Cricetulus griseus: one gene and its partner. The protein of the gene in region 2 purifies or fractionates together with the protein of the main gene of each other region. This does not show direct contact. Links are inferred from orthologs where the notes say so. Each region holds a gene or a part of one and is shown on either strand. Other genes may lie near its edges.

The links. The genes of interacting proteins can lie anywhere in the genome.
Region 1: the proteins of Arhgap17 (region 2) and Capzb purify together in Homo sapiens (affinity purification with mass spectrometry; 3 studies listed by BioGRID and IntAct, with this or other methods). This does not show direct contact. The link is inferred for Cricetulus griseus from reciprocal best matches to the Homo sapiens genes ARHGAP17 and CAPZB.

What each region holds. Positions count from the first base shown.
Region 1 is NC_048595.1:14,117,364-14,121,489, reverse strand, and holds the start of Capzb (F-actin-capping protein subunit beta), read left to right. Parts: upstream 1-1,418; 5' UTR 1,419-1,433; coding exon 1,434-1,538; intron 1,539-2,570; exon of another isoform or gene 2,571-2,585; coding exon of another isoform or gene 2,586-2,675; intron 2,676-4,126. UniProt on the Homo sapiens protein: F-actin-capping proteins bind in a Ca(2+)-independent manner to the fast growing ends of actin filaments (barbed end) thereby blocking the exchange of subunits at these ends.
Region 2 is NC_048596.1:77,347,566-77,351,691, forward strand, and holds the start of Arhgap17 (rho GTPase-activating protein 17), read left to right. Parts: upstream 1-1,865; 5' UTR 1,866-2,002; coding exon 2,003-2,055; intron 2,056-4,126. UniProt on the Homo sapiens protein: Rho GTPase-activating protein involved in the maintenance of tight junction by regulating the activity of CDC42, thereby playing a central role in apical polarity of epithelial cells.

The sequences.
Region 1 (4,126 bases), on a different chromosome or scaffold from region 2:
CTCCCATCTTTTGCTGCCTTGGACCATCCTCCCAAATGCCACCACACAGTGCTTAGCTACCTCTGCTTACCTCCTCCATCCACTCTGATGCTTTTTCTTAACTCACCTCCTGACAGCATTCAAGCTCAGCAGCGCCTTAACTCAGGGCAGGTGTACATATCCAGCTTGCAGGAGGCTCCATCTCCTGAAGCGAAATTTCACCTACAAACTCTAGGCTAGCATGAGATATTTTGCCCATAGCTGCAATCTCCATAGTCTGCATAATGCTTGGCCAATTGTTACACAATAAATACTTATGGAGTGATGACTTTCTAAGTGCCACTCCCTTCTCTGACCTCCTGTAATACTGGTCTACTGCCACTCTTGAGGGACTTAACCATTCACTGGCTGTTCCTGAAGGCTCTCACTTGTTTATGAGCTCAGAGGCCTCGGGCATAATCTTTCAGGGATGAAATTTACTGATCCCCACTCCCACCTACGACCTGATTTGATTTTAAATAGAAGGTGAGCAAGTCTGGTAGGTAGGTATTATGAGCAAGATTTGCAGTCTAGATTAACTCAACAAAGCATTTTGAAAAGTGCATTTCTAGGGCTGCGACTTCAGTTCAGTGTAAGAACATCAGCGTAGCAAGTATGAGGCTCTAGTTCAATCTTCAGTTGTGAAAACAAAGAGGGATTCCTGAGTCACTGGATGGAGCGAGGAAAAGACTCATTTGGCAAAAAGGCTGATTCTCTGCAGGTAATGTAGAAAAGTATATCTAACAGCCAGCATTTATTGAACCCAAATGTTCTATCTTTGTACCCGCGTCTTCCTCACGACCACCCTGTCTGGTAGCCAGGAAGTGCGGGCAGGGATCCTTCAGGCTTATTCTCCTGTCATCTTCTGGTACCTAAAGGCTGCCTCCCCGGTCGTGATAGCGGGTGTTCAGCCACAGGGGCGGCAGCGCCGGCGTCCCAGTGCAGGCTCCGCTAGCGCTCTAGGGGCTGGGCCCCATTCTGGCGCACCAGTTCCGGGTCCGGGTGGGGCGCGGAGGGCCGGTCCCCTCCTAGTTCAGGGCCTTCCGCATCCTCCGCCCAGGGGGGCCAGTGAACCGCTCCACCCTCAGGTACCCCGTGTCCTCCAGATGCTAGATGGCGAAGTGGGCAGCAGGAGGGTGCCACGGCCGCCTAGGTCCCTCCGGTACGCGCGAGCCCCGGGCTTACGGAACCAACGCGCCTGGCCCGCGTAGGGCCCGCCCTCCCCCATGAGAACACGCCCACTCGACCACAGGACCCACCCCCGTCCCCGCCCCCCGCGCAGAGCTCCATACTTGGCGATCGCCGCGGCCCCGCTCGCTCATTGGCCGCGAGCTGGCGGCGTGGGGGGGGTGGCTGGCGGGGAAGGAAGGTGGCGGCGGCCGGCGCGGGTGGGGGGGAGGGGGGCGCGGACCCGGATGTTCACTCTTGGGCACCCGGGGGAAGTGGAAGCGCCGGGCCCTGCTGCGGGGGGGAGAGCTACAGACGCCGGGACAGGGACCGTCGCCGCCGCCGCCACCATGGTAAAGGGACCCCCTCCACGGCCCCATCCCGGGACCCCCCTCGGGAGCTCCCGTCTCCTACCCCGCGGACCCGCCGGCTCGGGGAGGGTGGGACCCGGGGTGGGGGAGGGGTGGGGTCCGGGACCCTGGGCAGACGCCACCCCTCAGGTCCGGAGGGGTCGGCGGGAGGCTCGGGTGGTGCGTGACCCCGCCCTGGGCTCCATGTGGAGCCGGGTTCTTTCCCCGGCATGTCCAGGCTAGTCTCGAGGATCCCAGGCTAGACCTTCCTTCCCCTAGAGGCCGGGCCAGGCACCCCTCTCTCAGGCCCGCATCCCACGGCCTGAGCTAGGCTTCCCTACCTCGGCCCCAGGGCCCAGGCTAGGATGGTGCTTCTCGCTGCTGCGACCTATGCTAGGCCCCCTCCACTCAAACTCTTCTCTCCATGGCCCCAGCCTGGACCCCGACGACCCCTTTCTAGTGGCCTTAGCCTACGTTTGTTTCCTTCACCCCCATGGAATCTTCTGTCCGTGGTCCTCAAGTCTGGACTCTACTCCTGCTGTGCCCTCCACCTGCACCTCCTTGGCCCTGGCCCTAGCGATCCCCTTCCCCCAGACTTCTCACGACTTGGCTTAGTCTGCGTCAGCCCGCCGTTCTCATCCTCACCCTCCCATCTAGACTCTGCTTGCTTGGTGTCCTGCTCCCGACCTAGGTGTCTCCTCCCCTGTTCCTAGGACGCTCCTTCTTGGCAGTCCCTGGCAAGCGGGGGAGAGCCCCAGCCGGGGTGGGGGTGGTCCGGGTACTGTGCTTTCCTATACTTGAGACTTGCCCCTTTGGGGAGGCTGCTTCGCTTCGGAATGAGCGAGCGAGCAAGAGGCATAAGGGCGGCATCTGTGTGCCCGGAAGGCAGACCAGGGCATTTCCCGTGGCCGCCCTGCCTGAGAGGGGAGCAGAGTGCTGACGGTGACGAAGCCGAGTGGACAGGGATGAACGCATAATCGCTCTTGTGAGGTCGCGGCATGGGGGCTGGGGGGACACCAAGCTCAGAGACCAACATATGGCCTGGATACGATGCACCCTAGCAGGCGAAGCCTCCCTTTCCCCCTGAACTGTCAGCTTGTAAGGGTTGGAACTTCTGATTATGGAGGTGTCTCGGAACAGGTGAGCAAAACTCGCAGGCTGAGACTTCCCTCTGGTTGAACCCTGGTGTGTGTTTTGGTAATGAAGGCAGGCACACTGTGTGAGCAGCTTATTTGAGGAGCCTTAGGGGTGTCCCCCCATAACCCTGCCCCCCATCCACTTGGACACCTTCTGCAGAGCAGGTCCAGCACCTAGATGGAAGGGCCTCAAATGGTCAAGGAAGCTTGAAAAGTGGACAGTTAAGGCCATCCACCTGCTGCATGCCTCACAGCCTTGTGGTCGGCTCCCCTCCTGCTGATGATAGATGTTTGGGAGTGGACTTTGAGCTCTAGATGTTTTGAGGAACCCTGTTCCTTGTTTAATCAAGGGTGTAGCAACTGAATTAGGGTGCCTAATTCTGGTTGGCTAATAAACTTTCTATATATTGATTTAAAATGTAGGCAAGACTGTCTGTCATACTATTGTTCTTTGAAAACTGGCCTGGGGGTCTGGACTGTGGCCTTAGTCCGCATGGGGAAGGACTTGTCTAGGACAGTTTTGGGTGAGACTTTTAAAAGTCAACTGAAGTTTTCTATGTGTGCTCCGGGAGCCAAAGCCAGAGATAGTGGTGGAGTGGAGTGGAGTGGCCAGAGTCCTCTATGCTTCCCCTGTCACCATCTTCTGACAGGTGAAGAGAGGCTGGGGCATTCATTGCATCTCATTCAGAGCATTGCTCAGTTTGTGGATGGACCACTCTTGGCCAGTGGAAGCAGTGGCTTGGCGGGCTCCAGACAGTGATCTTCCTGGTAGGCTGTTGTATGTCTGATATAATGACATTGTTTAAGAAACGTAATGACCGGATGCTCAAACATGGCAAGGGCGGGCAGAGTACTTATTCCTGCAGACTGGGTGTGGATATTCCTGGTAACCGGAAATGTCATCTTGATACAGTAGTATGGTCTGCCTGGACCTGATCCTGAGCTCTTTGGGGACTGAGATTTTGGTCTGGTGTTTTTGGCCTCTGTCTGTCTGGGTTCTAGAGCAGAACCTAAGACTGAAAGATACAGCATGGAAGGCTGACACCTGTAATCAGCTGTTAAGGCGTCCAGGGCCAGCTTGGGTAACACAGTGAGAGTGAGACCCTGAGTTTCAAAAAAGAAACAAGAGATTGCTTAGGGTGTCTATGAGCTTTAGCCACTTGAGGTTTGGTGCTCATTCACTCAGCAGCTTGTTTTTCGTGTCCCCCAGGCCTCTAAGTAATTTCTGACTGCCTGTTGTCAAATCCGTACCATGCTTGAATGATCTGATGCCCTGGTGTGGGCAGTTGGATCAGTTGGCAGAGTGGAGCTATATTATAGGTAATGAACACCATGGTTTTGTTTTCAGTGGGCTTGGTGGCAGAACAAACAACTCTAGCTCCAACTTATCTGCTGAGGGAAAGAGAAGCCTGAGTTTTTTTTTTTTCTTGAGTCTGGTTCACTGTCCCTGTTAAG
Region 2 (4,126 bases):
TTCATGGTAACATCTGAATATAGTGACTCAATGGCTGACTCGTTTGGCAAATGATCTAGAAGCCCCATCTGTCTTGCTTTAATATGCCCTGTTGGGTGGGGTGACACAAGCCTGTAATTCTAGTATTTGGCAGGTAGAGGCAGGAGGATCAAAAATTTAAGGCCATCGTCAGCTGTATGAGATTCCTTCTCAAAAAACAAAGCCTTATTTCAAATCTCTCTGTTGTTACTAATGTTGATGATTGCAGTTTCCTGCCTGACCCAAGGCTCCATGCTTGAATTGTGATTACTGCAGAGTTTTAAGTTTCTTGTTCTTTGATCTCAAGATGTCCCCTGTATTATAGTTACTTTGCTCTCTGTTGTAAGCAATTGCTAGACAAGATGCAATGTTAGGGGGGAAGGGTTTAGTCTGGCTTCCGGTTGGAGGGATGTCCACCATGATGAGGAAGGCACCGCTGTAAGAATGTGATCCTGCTTGTAGGCCACTCGCCTCCACAGTCAGAAAGCAGAAGGCTTTGCATGCTCCTGGTTCAGCCAGCTTTCTCCTTTTTATACAGCCTGGGGTCACAGATGATGCAACACTGTGGCCCACATTTAGAGTGGGTGTTCCCATCTCAATTAACCTAATGTAGATAATTCTTGACAGACATGCGCGGAGATTTGTTTCTAAGGTGTCTCTAGATCCTGTCAAGTTGACACTTTAAACCATCACATAGCTTGTGAAGGAAGCCATAGTCCACCGGATGCAGGGAATATTGTCTACACAGAGCCAGGGCTGCAGGTCATAAAATTTGCCTGGTTCAGTTAGAGCAATGTGAAATGATCCCACCAAGTTTCCCCTCTCCACTGTGTCTGCGAGGGCTAGGAATCAGAACCCTATGGTCATTTAAGGCAGCAGGGACTCAGACCCATCAGTGCAGGGGCTGGTAAGGACCAGTTTCCTTTGGCTGTGGGCCTATGTGTATACTCTGTAGGTGGCCTTCATCTGATTGATCCTAGTCTTTTAGCTTTTCCCATGGACCAGTAAGCAGCTCCTGAAAAGAGCCTTCATGACACACTCTCTCCTGACACTTTGCCCTTTGTGCAGGACAGAGGGCAAGGTGTGCGGGTGTTGAGGGCCTGGAGCTCCTCGAAGGGTTGGTTCACCCCGCTTGATCTGGCTCGGCTCACTCCTGCTCTGCTAGGATATACTCTGGTCTGACCCACCAACTCGGCTTAGCTTTAACCAGATTTAGGTTCTGCTCGCACTCCCTTGACTTGGCCTCACTCCAGTAGGAACACCCTTTCTATTCGGCTTGGCTTGGTCCGGCTACTCCCTCTCCAGACTGGCTCGGCTCTGGGGTCCGGCTGGGCGAGGCACCATCTGTCTGTGTTCCACCCTGAGCAACCGAGCCGGGATTTACTAAGGCTCACCCGCGTTCCAGCTGGCCCCACTAGAGTAAGAACCCAGGTTGGGCTCAGCTCGCTGCTTCCAGCAGGGCTCACGCTAAGAACCGCGGGGATCCAGGTGCCCCGCTAGGTTTGGCTCCGCCCTTCTTGGGGGAGCCACGCTCGTCCATCCCTTATTGGCTCAACTCCACCCCTCTCCACTCGACGATTAGTTCGGCTCCACCCCAAAGTTCGCCTAGCTTTGGTGGTCTTGCTCCGCAAGACTTCTCTGGTTTCTGCCCGGCCGGGTCCAGCTCAGCTCCACCTATCTCGTTTCGCCCGGGTTCGGCTCGGCCCCACCCACCTCGCTGGTTCCCGCCCTGATCGGCTTAACTCCACCCATCGCACCTTCTTGACTCCACCTCTCTGGTTTCGGCCTTGTTCGGCTCCGCTCGGCCCCACTCGGTCGAGCAGGAGGGGCGGGCGACAGCCCTGGAAGTGACGCGGCGAGGGCGGGCCCGAGTTGTAGCCTCGGTCGCCGCCTCTCGGGCCGGGAAACGATGTAGGAGCCGCCAGACGGTCCCCAGCTCTCCCCGGCCCGAGCTCCGCGGCCTGTCGCCGCCGCAGCCGCCGCCATGAAGAAGCAATTCAACCGCATGAAGCAGCTGGCTAACCAGACTGTCGGCAGGCGAGTGCGCGAGGGCGGTCCTGCGCGCGAGGAGCCGAAGAACGGGGAGAGCCGGGCGCGGCCGGGCCTGGGCCAGCGGGGCGGGGGTCTGCGCCAAGCTGCGGCTTAAGCGCTGCCCATTGTCCTGCCCTAAGGACCATCGCCCTCGGGGGACCCACGCGAGCCCTTACTCCTCTCTGTCCCCGCCAGCCCGAGCTTGGCGCCTGCTGCGAAAACTCCGCAAACTTGTGTTCCTAACGCAGTGCCAGGCGCGCCGCTTTGGGGGCAGCGTTCCCAGGCTCTCCCAGTCGACCCGCTGTTGCAGCCTTCCTCCAGAAGAGCTTGCTGGTCACAGGGAACTGGAGGGGTGTTAATGCCAATGAAGTTCAGTCTCCCAGTGAAGGAATAGAGACGTGCAATCTCAAAATCCAGGCTATTGGGAACTTGTTGCGAGTTCTTGACGTTTACAAGTTTGGAAAGGGAAAAGGATGTCTTTTCTCCTCTTGGATGCGGAAACAGATATTTTGTTTCTTTGATACTGCTTGAGTGCTTGATAGGAAACATTGTTTTTTCTTTCTTTTTTTTTTTTTTTACATGAAAAGATACAGGAGAGACTGTAGATGAGTAGGCTGTGGAACAGGAGCGATTTGCGGTTTTTAAGAGCTTCAGGAGGCTGTTGTCATGTACTGTGCTAACTGTAACAAATATTTCAAGGTCTTGCAGGGCAGATAGCTGTGCTGAACCACTTTGCTGTTTATTCTGCACGGAGATAGATGAATTTTTCACAGCTCTAACGCTTTCTCTCCTCCCCTGGCAGTTAAGGGGAGTTTGGTTTGGTTGAAGCACGTGAGACACTTCTTTTTTTGTATATGTAGGAAAATACTTTTACTTCCTCTTGAGTTTTCTAAATTTGCTTTTTAGAATGTTTCATTTCCCTCAACTTTTTGCTAGGTTTTGTTACTGAGTTTCAAACAACAACAACAAAAATAACTCATGTAATTTTGGTATGCATTATCCTTTATCTAGAATCAGTCCCTGCCCCTTAAACCCAGACATGCCTACTTTACTGCTGCTTGTAGAATTAAAGAAAGAGGAAGATCAAGACAAACAATCCCAATGGCTCAAATGAAAAACATTATGAGAAATAATTTCTTCTGAGTTGTGCACCCCTTTCTCAGCCATGCATGGCAGAATCAAAACTTAGTGAATACCAAGATATATTTGTTAGGTTGCTGTTTATTTACTTATTAGACTGCTTTGTATTGTGTGGTACAAGGGACAGTTGCTGAAAGCTCTGTAGGGTTCTGTGGGCTCCTGCTTCCCCTTAGCTTCCCTTCCTACTTTTACATTCCAGCCATACCTACCCACTTTCAGTTTCCATGGGAGGCCTGTGTTTCTTCTGTATTATTCTCTTCCTGGACATCCCGGAAGCCTTTTTCACCACATCTAGCTGATAGCTACCTCTTTCTCATTCTTCAGGTCTCTCAGTGATAGTCTCTGTGCCCTATGAAGGTCCTTGGGGCATAATACCATACGCTGCCTGCTTTCTAGACTCAAACTCCCTCTTTACCTGTGTGTGTTGGTTGTTTGACTAAGCACTCTTGAGTGTCTTTCCTATGTGTCTTTGGTTCCCACGATTTGTGACTCCTATCTCATGACAGATAGCCTGTTGAAATTGTTAACTTCAGGAGTCTAGCTCTTACTACATTGCCTGGTGCTGTGGTATTAAGTTTGGGAAAATGTGAACAGGATAGAGTGGTGGTGATTCATACTGGGACAGTAATTCCGGCCCTGACCTTTGACTCTTTGAAAATCTTTATTGCTAGATGCCAGTGGAAGCTGCAGCTATTGCAGAGCTCTAAGGGTGTGGCAGCTATGAGACTCAAGTCAGAACATCTGTTTTTATTGGGGAGAAAACCTGTTGCTCTCTAGCTGTTGATTTCCTAGATCTCGATATCTCCCTCCCTCCCTCCCTCCCTCCCTCCCTCCCTCCCTCCCTCCTCCTGTGTGTGTGTGTGTGTGTGTGTGTGTGTGTGTGTGTGTGTGTGTGTGTGTTCCTATTTAAGTAACCCTAAGGGGTAGAAAGAAAAAT